2 linked regions of the Nothobranchius furzeri genome follow. The protein of the gene in region 1 interacts with the protein of each later gene in a biochemical or structural test. Links are inferred from orthologs where the notes say so. Each region holds a gene or a part of one and is shown on either strand. Other genes may lie near its edges.

Region 1 (8,361 bases):
TTCCAGCTTCCTGACAAATAGGAGCCAGCATGTGCGGTTGAACAACGTTACATCTGGCACAAGGTTGATCAACACTGGTGCACCACAGGGGTGCGTCCTTTGTCCACTGCTCTTTTCTTTTTACACCAATGACTGCACCTCTGAGGATACAGCTGTTAAAATCCTGCAATTTGCAGATGACACCACTGTCATTGGGCTCATCCAGGATGGTGATGAGTCTGCTTATCAGCGAGAAGTTGAGAGGCTGGTGGTCTGGTGTAGTCAGCACAATCTTGAGCTTAACACCCTTAAGACTGTGGAGATGGTCGTGGATTTTAGGAAGCTTCCCACAGTGCTGTCCCCTCTCACAATATCCAACAGCCCAGTGTCAATGGTGGACTCATTCAAGTTCTTGGGAACTATCATTTTTAAGTATCTGAAGTGGGAGAAAACATTTACATCCTCAAAAAGGCTCAGCAGAGGATGTAGTTTCTACGGCAACTAAGGAAGTATGGCCTACCTCAAGAGCTGCTGATCATCTTCTATACTGCTAAAGTCAAATCCATACTCTGCTCATCCATCACTGTCTGGTTTGGGTCAGCCACAAAAATAGAAAAATGCAGACTATAGCGCATAATTAAAACAGCAGGAAAAATCATTGGTGCCCAACTGCCCTCTGTCCAGGAATTGTACACCAGCAGGACCAGGAAAAAGGCAGCGAACGTTGTCCAAGACTCCACACATGTTTTTAGAGAGCTAACATCTACTGAAGCTAAATTCCTTGTAAATGTAATTTTACTTGGCCAATAAATCTGAATCTGAGAAGCCAAAGATGAAAATGTCACAAGATTATTTACCACTTTGAATTATTTTTCTTGCAAACCACCTAGCTAGTTTTTTTTCCCAAATCTCTACGTTTCCACGTTTATTTCGAATAAATTGTTTGACAGAACTGTAGTATTTAATGAGTGTTGTGTTGCGGTGCATTGATGGTCTCAAGATATTCTATCAAGTGAAACTTTAGCTAGCATTTGGTTATCCAGTTGTTGATGACAACATCTGTTAGCCAAAAATGATTTAAAATTTTTTCCTTGTTGTTATCTAAGGATATTTTAACACAACATTTGACCTACAGTTACAAATAACACATTCTCATTTATTATATTCATACATTCATATAAATACTGTAAATCCTCTAATATTAGCCTGTATTTAATTAACTGCCGGGTATCACATTTTGGCCGGTGTCGGAGACGGCGGAGGTGAATGATGGCCGGTTTTTTATTGTGGCCGGGTGGAATGTGGTAACAAGCAAGTACGGGGGGCGGTTGAGTCATCCGTCTCACTTTTGATTTGCCAGTGATAGACCGCGAGGGTAACTTTAACCGTGCGGAGACGAAGAGGAGGCGAAAATTTGATATCAAGTTCAAAGAGAACGTGCTGATTATGCTGCAGAACACTCTGGGGAGCAGTAGCAGGGGTTGTATGAACTAGTCACTAGTCGACTTCACCGCTCTATAGTGACTTTTTATGCCTGTCATCGACTAGTCGCTGTCACGTGATAATGACCGGCAAGATGCAGTCCTCGGAAAAGACAGCAGCCTGCTGTCAGCAGGTGACAGGTGATGCGCCCCGATCCACAGCAGTGAAACGCATCAGGCACAAATAAAAGAATAAAAAACAGAAAACATAAAAGGAAATGAGCCGACATGAACGATCGCGTGTTAAATTAGTTTTTGAGGTAGCGACACCTGATTTGATAATGTTACTGTGGCCGTGCTCAGGACGCAGATGTCTGGAGCGCGTCAACAATCAGAGCTTTGCATGCGCAAGCTGGTTAAGGTTAGGATGGGGGTGAGGGGAATGTTAAATTGCAAGAGGGTAAACATCACAATTTGGTCAAATGTCCGTTTTACGGCGGCTGTCAATACCGACGCTCTGGCACAGCGCGTTGCCTCCCGTGGCCGGCAAGCAGCGCACACTCCGCTGTTTTTGCGGTCGGTAGATCTTTTAGAACTGCAGTTCAAAGGTAACTCATAAGGTGAATATATATGAACCCAGGTAGCAGTTTTTCTTTAGGATTGAGAGGAGATGTAGGAAGATAATAAACAGGCAGGACAGAAAAAAAGTCAAATAAAAACAAGTTAGTTTACCTGGTGGTTGCAACAAACAGACACCATTGAAGGTAATCAGAAGTGAGGAACAGAAAATGAAATAATTATTTTAATGTTTAGAGCAGCAGGAACTCCGAGAGGCTGCAGGCGCATCAGTGAGTTTGCGGCCGCTGCACAGGGGGAGGGGGGAGATGGCTGAAGCAGGAACTACCTTTGTTAAAAGAAATGTGTTTAACTTTGAAAATGTGGGCGCAATTTTAATTGTCAAAAACTCCAGCGAACCATTAGTTCATTTTGCTCAAAGAGAAATTGAGGCCTGCCTCTAATTCTGGTCCTCCTTCCAATAAAGGCCTGGAGCTTGATGAGCTTGAGTCAAATACAGACCCGGGCCTGTATTAGAGGATTTACGGTAATACAAAATATGCTTTTTGTTTTTGTTTTTTTCAGTAAAAATCGTGAGCATTTTCAGTTCTGTTTCTTGTGGGGAAAAAAACATTTTTGGTGTTCTTGTTATGTTTTGATGCTAATGGAGGCAATCAAAGATTGTGTCCTGCAAACTGTGGTTGATAAAACATTATTTTGTACACAGGAACTCTAACACATCTATGTTTAGTAGTTGAAAACGCGTCTTTTGTTTAAAAGTAGGCTTCTGTTGATTTAACACGATTTTATTTCAGGTTTAATACTAATTTGTTAAAACTTTTGCTGAACTTGTGTAAGTGATTTTTCAACCATCTCCTCGCCTGGATTCTCAGCCAATTGCGACATCACTGCTGGTCACGTGACGGTGAAAGTGCAGGAGGGGGGCACGCGCAGGGTTTTTTCGCACTTTTGTAAACAACATGGCGACCCGCGGACTGTTCCAGCGTTCCAGCTAGCAGACTAAAAAACAAACTCCACGCTGTTTGATCTCCAGTTTTCCGCGCAACAGGCTGCGTTCAAGTTCCGGTTCTAACATCAAATAAAGTCCACACCGGAACGAGAGAGTAGGCGGAGCGAGGAGCTGTCAGCAGGACAGTCAAACGGTAGCGGCTGTTGTTAGCTGTCGCTGCTAACTCATCCTTATCAGACACATCTTTAATGGTGACAAGCTAACAACACATCACAAATGTTCTGGTCGATTTCTTTACCCGAACCCGTAGCTTGCCTGTTGTAGATTCAGTAACTAACCGATGTCAGTCTGGTCCAGCTGCAATAGACCTCAGTGTTTTTGTTTTGTCTGCGCTCACCTGACTTCCTCAGGTAAACCTGAGCCTGTTCTTTTACATCTCTCTGCCAGGCCTTTTCAGTCTATGGGCTCTCAGTCCAGTTCTGGGATGTCTTGTGGAAGGGGCTCTTCCAGTGACAACCCAGCAGGTCAGTCTGAAGGAGCCGAACCGAACCAGAGCAGCAGCAGCAGTAACCGAGGCCGCAGGTCGGCAGACAGGCAGCTGGGAGACCGGCAGTCGGCTTCAGAGGAGGACGTAGACTTAGCTGAAGTTCTGGCTTATCTACTGAGGAGGTGATCTGTTATTAACGAGCTTCTAGGGTATTTTTCTTGTCTCAGCTCCATCATCAGTGATGTGTAACTCAAGGTCGTTGTAATTTCTGATTTCCTGTTCAGCTTCCATGTGTGAGCAGCTGGAGTCAGACTGGATGTTTACAGGATTACACACGTCACACATGTTTAGATTTAGCTTTTAAAGTATAGTATATACGATCAGATAGATGATGCTTAGAGTGTTTACTGCTTAAATAAGGCATCTCTGATATTTTTGAGTTTCCAATACCAAAACATTCCCCTAATTAAGATTCTGTTATTAACAGGAAACAAGTGAAAGCAGCAGATCAACTGGGGACGTTTTAGAAAGACTGAACATTTTTTAGCTTTCAGCCGATCTCCAAAATAAGCTGTGTTTACTTTAGTGTCCATTTAGGTGACAGCTTGACCTTTAACTTACTCGTTGCTGCTCAGTGGGGCCACATACTGAATGATGTTTGTGTGTGTGCAGGGGCCAGGTCCGACTGGTCCATGGCAGTGAAGCTACAGGACTGCAGCTGGTCCAGTCCTATTCTGACTCTGATGAGGACAGTGACGGAGCCTGGGATGGACGTCTTGGGGACCGTTACAATCCACCAGGTAACTCCTGACTCTGCTGCATTCACAGGCTTTAAGTTAGGAGACTAAAGTGTTGCTTACTAGGGTTGGGCATCGAGCATCGATTGGAACCGGTTCCAACTGTTAGTTTTTCCCAGAAATGTTCAAAGTTTTTTATTTTGATTCCTAGAATGCCAACCGGAAGAGGAATCCGCAGCCGATCTCCGTGAAAAATAAACGTGATCTGCAAATTGTGATCAACGCTCTTCAGAGCTGATCACACCAGCTGTCTTGTGTGCAGCACCGAGTCTGTTAATTATAGCTAGAGGGGTTTATTAAATGCTTTATTTGTTTTCATGGAGCTTAAAACCAGTTTGGCAGCAAGTTGTAAAAATGAAAGTCTGGAATAACACCGGACCAGCCCACGGAGCGTTGGACATATTCATACAGACTTCCCCATCACAATTTGAGCTTATACCTGAACATAAAGTATGCAGCTGAGATCCTGCCGTCAGCTCTGACCTCCTACTCAGACGTGATCTTCTCTCCCTAGTGGACTCCCAGCCCGACACACACGAAGTGGACCACAGTGAGATCCGAACTCAGATCCTCCTGGCCACGGCCTCGTCATCCCTGAAAGGCCGTCACAGTTTCACCCACATGCTCACAGAGGTCAGACCACACACTACAAACCTAAACCAGAGGGCAGCTCATTAGATATGTTCTATAAAAAAACTGAAGCATTTTTTTTTGTAAATGATGTGATTTTATAGTTGTTGTTTTTTAATTAGTTATAAACGTTTGTTCTTCCTGTTGTTCCCAGAGGGAACAAGGCAGGTGTAGAGGCTCCAGCTTTTCCCATGGAGAGTGCAGCCGTATCCGCACACAGTGAGAAGCAGTCACACGTCTGTTTATGACAAAAGGTTGAATTTCTGCTTGGATTATGTTTTTAGCATGAACCTTTTTTCTTTGTTTCTCAGCTTCCTACCAAATTATGTCTCCCACAAGGATTCGTACCTGCAGAAAGCTTTCTGTGGTGTTTACAGCGAGGATGGCAACACGTTCCTCTCTGCCTGCCAAGGTAAACAACACGACGTCTGACCTCAGAGCTCAAAGAGCTGAATTTGATCTTAAAATAATAATAAAAGTGCAGATTAACGTAACTGTTTATGCAGTCACACAAACACAACTATCACAGCTTTTATCATAATCTAACAGAACAAAAACTATCGTCCCTTAAAGCAGATACAGAAAAGGTACGTTTGTTTTAAGATATTATTAGAAGATAAATTAATCTTTTATTTCCTCACTCATGATCTTCTGTTTTGACAGAAGTGAGCAGACAAGTTGCTGCCTGTTTTCTGTCTCGTTTTTTTATTCATGTGCTTCTGCGAGCTCTGAGCTGACAGCAAGACACTGATGTAATGCTTCACCAATGCTCATAAATAACTGCTGCTTTAATCCATAAAAATGTAATAAATCCTTTTTTCAGATCAGAACATCCGCCTGTACGACACCTCCAGAGGACGCTTTAACCTGCAGCGGACGGTGAAGGCGCGTGATGTCGGCTGGAGCGTGCTGGATGTCTGCTTCACCCCCGACGCTCGCCACTTGCTCTACTCCAGCTGGTCCGACTACAGTAAGGCTAACCCCCAGAGAAAGTTCACCACATTGCTAAATATGGATTATTTAAAAATGGTAATGAGACTTTTCTGAAGAAGATGTAGCTGTTCGTGGATAATCAAAGCTCCGTCTCTCATTTATGAAAAAGTCCCATTTCCTTTATTTAAACACAAATACTCATCAAGTTGGGAGGGGAATCGCACCTGCTTTTCATCTTCAGCAAAAAAAAAAAAAAAAACTTACAAGGAACGAAAATAATTATAAGAGTGTGAGAAAGCATCACTGCAGGGAGCACTAGACTGCTTATCATGGTCTGTAATTTCTGTATTTAATCCTTATATAGTTGCATATTCGATATAGATATATATATATATATATATATATATATATATATATATATATATATATATATATATATATATATACCCTCATTTACCCTCATTCATCAACAATCTTTATTTTCTGATTGTGTAAATCCTAAAACATTAGGTTCACAGTCACACAAAACGTGGCTGTGCTGCAGTAAAAGCAGAGAAGAGCTGCTACGGAAGCTTGTGTGTCCACAGGTCATGTAAGGGGCTTAAAGTGAAAGTGTGTAGTTTCCCTGGCGATAGGGGGCAGTACATACCTAAATGATTGCAAGCAGGCATTACTTTTGTGTTACTTCTCCGTCAGCTCCACGAGGGAGAGACACGCACGCACAGACAGAGACAGTTTTCCCTCATACTTCTCCGTCTCCTGGAGAGTGTTGCAAAGCAATTCCCCGCCAGGACAACAGAGGGCGTAGCGCTGTTCTGTGGTATCCTGTCATGTATCCAGTCCAAGATAGTGTGTTAATATTGTGTTTTTTGTATTTAAAAGACTTTTTAACACAGAAAAATGTGTCCCTCATCCTCCACCTTTTCCTGCTCTCGCCACCTCTAAACCCACGTTTCCTGTCATTTCCATCAACAAATAAAACTCTTGCTGCGTATCTTTTCACTCCTCCAGTCACAGGTGATAAAACGTTCATATTTTTAGAGTTTTTCCGCAAGGCACCCTTGAAGCTGCTCCGTGTCTGCCGCTAGATATCCTCAGCTCTATTTGTGTTTTTGAGGGCGCAATGGCGGCGCTGTAGGCGACAGCGACATACTGACCAATCACAAGCTTGCGTTCTCCATCTGGGCAGACGGATGTTTAGAAAAGAGAGGTCGACTCCGTCCGTCCTTGCGAGGGCTCTAGCAGGCTTGCAAGGACTGAGAATTGCGTGCATGTGTCCGTCCCGACGCAAACAGAGAAGTATAAATTAGGCTTAAGACCTTACCAACGGATGGCCTTTAGGGTCAAAAATCCATGGGAGCTCAGCGTGCGAAGAGGTAAATGTGTTAAACAACGTTTATTAATGGTGAAGTTTTGTAACCGCTTGTTACAAATCAGGAAATGCATTTTGTCCTCACGGGCTTCCGTAGAAGGAAATATGGCATCCAATATGGCGCCGCCCAGAGACTTAGGCCCTGTCCACACGTAGCCGGGGATCTGCCAAAACGTAGATTTTTTCCTACGTTTTGGCCTGTCATCCACACGAAAACTGAGTTTTTTCACACGAAAACGGATCTTTTTAAAAACTCCAGCCAAAGTGAAGATCTGCGTTTTCTTCGTTTTGGGTGTCTGCGTGTGGACGGACAAAACCGGAGTTTTAAGATCCGCAACGTCACTTTCCGCGACAAAAAATGCTGACATCACGTGTGCGACCTGTGTTTACACTAGCCGACATCATGGAAGCCCTCAGAGCTGCGCTCTGTCACTACCCGATCCATCAATTGTCCAAGCGCTTTCTGCTTGTTTGTTTTTGCAAGCGGAATTACTGCTCCTTGCGGAAGACCACAGACGAAGGACGAGGTTAAGAACGGGGGAAGTACTGCCGCCTACAGGTCTGGCATGTCCTTAACAACGTATTTATCCGGGTACGTGTGGACAGAGTTTGTTTTTAAAACGCAGTGGTGTGGATGCAAGTTTTTGGAGGGGCGGATATTCGTTTTTAAAAAACCCCGGCTACGTGTGGACTAGGCCTTAGACCCGCTCCCATGTATTTTAGAACATATTTTTCAGGTTATATGTTATGAAACTGCCAATATTTTTCATCAACTGGGCTTCTTTTAATTCATTTACAACAACATTTTGGTGGATATTTCCAGAGATGAATGGTAAAAACTACACATTGTCACTTTCTGACAAACAATGGAGGCATATTTCCTTTTTTTAATTTCATACACTGTTGGTTTGTTTTTCCCTCATTCTGTCATCGTTTAATGATGACATCAGTGTTCACCTGTGAGGTAAACCTGCAAAAGTCCCAAAGAGTTCGACTCCTCATTAACACCATTACTGTATAAAACAAACAGACCCGACCTATAGCTTTCTGTGGGGCCTTTTTGAAGCCAAATCAGCGGGTCTCACCACCTCCATCTCATGCTACCTGTAAATCAAATCTAATTATTCATAATTTCAAGCATTTAATTCCACCTAAATGGAAGATGTATAAAAATCCACCCCCCTCAGAGTTGTCATCACTGTAAATTAGATCTATTA
Region 2 (6,872 bases), on another chromosome or scaffold:
CGAAGCTCGTGTGGGAGAAGAGGAGTGCAGGTAAGTGCGTTTAGCTTTCCCTGCTGCCGTCGATATGTGTTCCCCCCTCGATCAGTTTCTTTTGCACCCAGCTGCAAGTGGAAACGACGCAATAACAAGAAATAACACTAACCATAACCACTCTGGCACCAAAAATGTATGGTTTGCGTAAATATAATTTTTGAAAATATTACGTGTAGCACAATTTTTATGTTGGTTTCAGGGTTAGGGTAGCTTAGGACACATTTTTTGCGAGTGGATGGTTCTCACTCGCCGCTGGGTGCAAAAGAAACATCTCGAGGAGGAACACATCGACGCAACACCTGGTTTCACTGGTCAGACGACTAACGTTTTGCTGACAGAGGCTGTTTGGTTGTCAGTGTTACCTTTGAGCTGTCTCCTCTCGCTTTCTGTGGGTTCTCACTCTCTTTTGTTCCATGTTGAAAGCCGTTTCCCCCCTCAGCTAATCGGGGTGGATTTGAATTATTTCTCCTTCTGGAGTGGTCACATTAAGTCTCTGAAGAATAAAAATCTCGGGACGTGTACTTAATAAAGTCCAGAGTCCGCTGCATGGGGACATATTTGAACGGGGGTTACATCTGTACGTGTCACCGTTTCTGGCTCGGTTCTGATCAGCCCGGTTAGACCAGGAGAGACGGTCATCTACCCTTATGTTCTTCCCGGGCTCGTCCCACCGGGAACCGAGTGGAAGATGTTTAAACCTTGTCGGGTCGGACTTTAGTGGCTCACCCAAAATTCCGCGCCACCGCGCGCCAACACACAATGGATCGACCGGAAGTAGGAAGTAAATGGCGGGAGATTATTTTAAACTGTGCTGCAGTCCCGCTCCGATCAGCTTTATGTTTATTCCTCATTAGATCAATTCTCTGATCGTTTCTGGCTGGGCAAGGGTCGTACCAACCCGAACCAGGACCGGTTGGTCCAGGGATTAGAGCTACCAGCCTTTGGGTCAGAACCATCGACATGTAGGGTCAGAACACACCAGCTGCTTGTAAGTACTCATCACAGTGGGCACCATTTGTCTTTGTTAGACCCCATCCAGAGACAGTGTCTTGTTTGAGACAGCTGTCCACTTTAGGGACAGGGTGCTCACCCTGTAACCGCAGAGTTGCAGGTTTGCGCCCTGCTCAATCTGCCGCTGTGCCCTTGGGCAGGACACTTGCAGCTCCACCTCTGGCAGTTAGCCCTGGTCTCTTGACATTTGCAGTAGCTTACAGAATGAGCCGTTTCAGGCCTCTCTTGGGCCACTCTTTTACAGGTAAGAGCAAAATATCATTTAGTCTGGAGCTCTGTGGCTGCACAGACGTTACGACTATAAGAAATCGCATTTCGGTCCCCAGGTCTATAAGCATTTTGATTTTTATGAATGGAAACGCTCAACGCTGTGAGCTCTGGATACAAGGGCTCTGCAGCAGGCCCACAGGAAGTGGAGCAGAAACCTGCGACTGATCAACAGCACCTCTCTTTAAAGAACATCTTACATCAGATGTCCCCTTAAACGCTACTGACTAGTAATATTCTAGCCTTCTTTTATATTTGTACCAGGAGCAGCGGCCCATCCCGGTGGTCCCACAGTAGGAAAAGAGGAGTTGATGGAAGTTTGCGGAATAACAGTGATGAAGATGGTGATGACTGGTGCAGACATGCCAGGTATGATCATGGCGCAGGTCCTCCTGACACAGCTCTTGTGAAATCTCTGATTGGTGCCACTGGTTTAATGGTGTGTGTGTGTGTCTTCTGTAGTTTCACCACCCCAGAGAGCTCTGGACCAGTGTCGAGATGTAGTCGGCCGACTGACTGGGGCAGCCAGGTGGAGGATGAGGAGATGAGGAGAGACATGCACAAAGACATGCAGCGGTAAGACGAGCTTTCTGCTGAACACCAGCTGGTTTCTGTTAACTCCGAGCTGACGTTCTCGACTCTTCAGTTACAGGAGGAGGATACTGGGTCCAGAGGTCACTCAGAGGGAGAGGAGAGCCTCGTCTGGCTCCTCTGGGAGGTAACCACCATGCTTCTGTTTAACAGCAGTCCAGGTGGTCTCTAGTCAGGGTATCCGCAGGTCCTTAAAAAGTCTTAAATTTGCTTTTCCAAATTTACGGCCTTGAAAATCCTTAAAAATGACAAATAATCCTTAAATCCAGTTTCCAAAGGTCTTAAATCACCAAAGACCCAATAAACAAGATTATTTTATTTCTATAAAAATTTTCATGAATTTATAGTTAGTGTTCAGCATTTTTTGTGTACGATGTTGGCATAAGCGGAACCGTACACATTCAGTTGGTTGGGAAAGGGGGCAATTTTTAGATGAGCACATTAGCTGGTTAAGCTAGTGGGAGCTTGCGCCATGGGGAAGTGCAAGTTTAATGGTAAATGGATGGCTAATCCCACGTTCACGACGTGGTTAGCACCGGTTCCAGGCAATAGCTGGAAATTATAGCTTAAATTTAATTTTAAAAATAGCTTAAATTTGGTCAAAGTGGCCTGAAAAAAGGTCTTAAAAAGTCTTAAATTGGCTCCCTTAAACCTGCACATACCCTGCTAGTAGCCATAAGCTCATGAAGTCTCACCTGTTCGTAGAAGGTTCTTCCAGCCAACGAGAGGAGGCGAGTAAAGGTGTGTGTTCTGTTTGTTGTGCAGCTGTGACTCCAGAGAGGGTGAGAACATGGAGACTGATGAATCCGTTCTGCTGCGACGACAGAAACAGATCAGCTACGGCAAGAACACGCTGGCCTACGACAGATACATCAAGGAGGTCCCAAAGTAGGTCACACCCAGAACCGATAGCAAAACCGGAACCCAGGTGTAGAGTAGGGATGTTCTGATCACAATTTTGAGTCACGAGTCATTTGATTGAGAGTATCTGCCGATGCTGAGTCCTGATCCAATATTTCTGCAAAACATTAAAATAAGAAAAAAATCACACATCCAAGTCGTCCCTTGAAGTATTTTTTAAAGTAGCCGCGTGGCTCTGTTCAAATCGTTTACTGATCGGTGCGCGTTCCCTCCACTGAACGGGCGGGTCTGGGCACAAACTGTGCAGAGATGTTTGTTAAAGAGCAAGTCACCCCCTACAAGAAACTTACTTCACTCCCTCTTCATGTTTGAAAAATGCAACAAATGCTGCTGCTTGGCAGACCGAGAGGGCGGAGCCGCTAACAAATACACACACACAGGCTCACAATGGCATTATGACATCATAATGTACCAGATGACATCATATCATACCTCTTAGCCAATAGCATTGGCAGGTTTAAATTCTAATACAGTGCACAATTTTTCTCTGACGACGGCGCAACACTGACAGTTTTAGACAGAATATTTGAATTTTAACCAAGATGCACTGAACTGCCAAACTATTGACGACACGTGTCTGTAGCATGATTAGACACTCCTTTATATAGTTTATCAGCAAAAAAAAATGTGATTTGGGGTGACTTGCTCTTTAAATAGTGACAGCTCATACCAGCTCCAGTGATAAATGATGGCCGTGCCTGTTGCTGGTCACAAACACGGGTCACACCCGCCAGCTAGTCCTGCTTCGTGTTTTTGTCCGAGTAGCTGCAGTGAACTGAGCAGGGTTTACTTTTAGGGTGGCGTTTCAGATTCATCGTGTTGACTACAGCTCGGCATGTTAAATACCCAGTGTGCACACACAACAGAGGCTATTGCTCCACCTCCACTGTCCAGCTTAAAATACGTCCAACCTGCAGACGTGTTCTCTCCGGAGGATACGCGTTAGCCTGTTGCTAACAGCTACATGTTCCGGTGTCTGAATCCCCCGTCTGTTGTAAATTGTGGGATGTTACGGTGTCGTCGTCTATGGATCTTGTCAACATTAGAACTAAGCCATCATAATGTTTCAAAATCAGCGTGAATACAAAAGTTCCTGCTTTCTGTTTTATGTGGTTATGGCCGACCTCTTAAAAATCTCTCTGATCGGAGCGCCCTCACCGTAGAGAGTTGTCCGTAAAACCTGGACCGTGTCTGCTTTCAGGCACCTGCGGCAGCCAGGCATCCACCCGAAAACCCCCAATAAGTTCCGGAAGTACAGCCGGCGCTCCTGGGACCAGCAGGTCAAGCTTTGGAAGGTCAAACTGCATGCCTGGGATCCTCCGTCATTGAGCTCCCAGAAGACAACTCCTAACAGCAACAGCAGGTAGGAGAACGTCAGGCTCGGAGGAGCCTCCTTGTGCCGAACCCAGCAGGTCATTTTGTTTTTCCTCCAGTCAGGAGCTGGACCCCTGTGAGGAGCTGGATTTTGGTGACGTCATGGATATCGAGTTGGACTTCCCTACCCTGTCGCACTCTGAGCACCCCCCCACCGCCCACTGGGTGCACGCCTCCTCTGTAACGGTGAGTTAGCGTAGTTACGAACCGACAGGTTAAACCTAACACTTTTTGGGCTCGGTTCTGAATCTGCTTGTTCTGTGTTGTTCAGGATCAAGACTACCTGGGGACCCCAGTTAAAGTCCAGAGGACAGAGAGCCCAGGGGGGCCTGACATGGTGTAGCTCATGGTTGGGGTTCCTGCTGAACTCCACCTGCATCTAGGAAGTGTGTTCTGGAGTCGTTTGGGTTCAAATATTTGTTTTTAGTCCGTAAAAAGGACACTTTTAACTTGGACATCTGCTCAGGGAGATCACTCCACCACCAGGTTTATAATTCCAGCTTTGACCCGTCAGGAGACTGCTGGGATGAGCCCCTGTTGTCCTCGTCTGTTTGTGTCCCGGTGGGGAGACGTCGCATCGACCTGAGTCCAGGAGTTATTTAAGGAGGAGCGACGGCGGACGGCTTGTAGAATATTTTGTAGAGCTCTGATTTGACTGTTGAGCCGGACAGTTTTACGTTTGCTGTTATGAACTACGTGTAATTTTAATATGTCCTTATTACAACTGTTTGTTTGTTTGCTTTTGATGAAGACATGAAAATAAAAAGAACAACCTCGTTACTGGTTCTGACTGGTGCCTGAAATCCTTGAGAAGGTCCGAGTTTTTATGGAATAAAGTACTTGGGAGGCATTCAGGTGGAAGTGAGTACGGGACGAGTTTGTTCTTGTGTACGTGTCGGCACTAGGAAACATGCTGGAACCAGTGTGTTTGGTGAAGGAGCTCACGATGGACCAGGTGGAGAACATCAATGAAACTTCATTTGCTCTCTGAAGACCACGGAATCGATCAAGGAGTGGAGGGGAACGTGTGAAAACTGGATCAGAAATTGTGACCCGGCATTCCCCTCCTGGGAATAGTTGAACGGAGAGCTAGAGAAGGTTCTGCTCCTACGGAGACCTCCACAGCCGAGCCGTGCCTGATGGCGGGAGTCGAGTGAGAATGAGAAGTCAGCAAGTGATGACTAGAAGCTGATGGACGGGACCGGTGGCAGTTGGACCTGTTTTTACTCTAATCGGGTGCGATGCGGGCCGGACCACAGTGTGGACCTTCACCATCTACTGCCAGGAGGAAGACCACCCGAGGACCGACAGGTAAAGAGGAGAGAACGTCCGCGTGGATGGAGCCATACTCCCCACCAGCAGGTGGCGCTGAAGACGGGTTGCTTTTCCACCCGGAAGTGAAGCCTGGCAGCGGGAGGAGGTTCCGGTCCGGTTCTGGTTTGTGTCCGCTGAGCGACTGTGTGAAGGAAAGTTGTCGTGGTGCCACCGCCGAACCCGCTTTGGACTCGGACCGTTGAAGCGAGGACCATGCTTGGAGTGTGCCTGCGAGGAGCCCACGCCACGGTCCGGGTAAGAGCCGAACCCGTCCTGTTAGCAGCTAGCATGGTGGGGTCATCCGGTGACCCAGCTCAAGGTTCCACGGTTCTCAGGGTTGAACAGAACCAGTTTTGTGCCAGGACATCCGGTCCAGTTTGGCGTCTCTGGTTAGCCCGCGGTTAGGCTTTGTTTACATTCCCTCCGGTACCGGTAAGGATTAGGGTCCGAACCCTAACGAGCACCTCTCAGGTGACCTGTGTGTTCAGAGATTTGATGTTTACAGGTGAGTTTAGTTGGAGGTGACGTCACAACCGTAGATGCTGCCTTCACTGTACCTGGGACATTGTGTGTTTCAGAAGAACTGTGTGAGAAGTCCTCTGACTCCGCTGCAGTCCTACAGGTGCTACTCCACCAGCAGGAGCAGGTAACTGACCCCTCAGGTGAGGTAAGGACACACCTCACAGGTAAAAACCTAACCGTCTGCCCCTCCCCATCACAGCGGCGCCTCCAGAGTGGTTGCTCTCGGCTTGGTGACGGTAGGCGGAGGCGTGGGAGGGACACTGCTCTACTCCAAATGGGACCCCAAGTTCAGAGCAGCTGTGGAGAAGAATGTCCCGTACTCTGATTGGCTGCTGGGCCTGGCTCTGGGACCAGCTCCTGAGGATGCCCGTCTCCCTGTGAGGAAACAGGTGAGGAGCGGAGGTGAACACCTGTTCACACGCAAAGTCCAGTTCCTGTCACCTGTTAAGGTTTTCCTGTGAAGTCCACCTGAGCTAAAGAAGGGGGCGGGGCTTGTTGTTTAGAGCGACGGCTCTCATCATTTGTGCTGATTTTGTCTTCGCTGTCTGGCGTGCCGCCACCAGAAGGCGCGGTTTAGGTGTTCCCTGAGCTGCTGCCACAAACTAGGGATTGTGATGAAAATGGAAGATCATCTCATGGTCACATGACGTGGCAGCTGTACCGTGACAAAATTCACTTTCGTCTCCCAGCAGAGGAAGTTTGGATTTAAGTAAACCATTTGAGCGTGTCGATGGACTTGGGGCTCAGGGATGATCTTGTAGGAGCTGGATTAGACTACGCTGCTAAGTTGTTTCGACGTGTTGTGGCTCAGTAGTTAGGAACAATAACATTATTTTTTT

The links.
Region 2: the proteins of dcaf11 (region 1) and slbp form a complex in vitro, tested with the Homo sapiens proteins (2 studies listed by BioGRID, with this or other methods). The link is inferred for Nothobranchius furzeri from reciprocal best matches to the Homo sapiens genes DCAF11 and SLBP.

The regions. Positions count from the first base shown.
Region 1 is NC_091747.1:42,041,595-42,049,955, forward strand, and holds the start of dcaf11 (DDB1- and CUL4-associated factor 11), read left to right. Parts: upstream 1-3,043; 5' UTR 3,044-3,265; coding exon 3,266-3,594; intron 3,595-4,084; coding exon 4,085-4,212; intron 4,213-4,723; coding exon 4,724-4,842; intron 4,843-4,993; coding exon 4,994-5,058; intron 5,059-5,150; coding exon 5,151-5,251; intron 5,252-5,662; coding exon 5,663-5,809; intron 5,810-8,361. UniProt on the Homo sapiens protein: May function as a substrate receptor for CUL4-DDB1 E3 ubiquitin-protein ligase complex.
Region 2 is NC_091741.1:108,905,026-108,911,897, forward strand, and holds the end of slbp (histone RNA hairpin-binding protein), read left to right. Parts: coding exon 1-30; intron 31-1,575; coding exon 1,576-1,680; intron 1,681-1,773; coding exon 1,774-1,887; intron 1,888-1,957; coding exon 1,958-2,029; intron 2,030-2,667; coding exon 2,668-2,790; intron 2,791-4,024; coding exon 4,025-4,186; intron 4,187-4,256; coding exon 4,257-4,383; intron 4,384-4,468; coding exon 4,469-4,540; 3' UTR 4,541-4,977; downstream 4,978-6,872. Other genes in the region: immt (MICOS complex subunit MIC60), read left to right, coding at 5,725-5,766, 6,090-6,157, 6,233-6,422. UniProt on the Homo sapiens protein: RNA-binding protein involved in the histone pre-mRNA processing.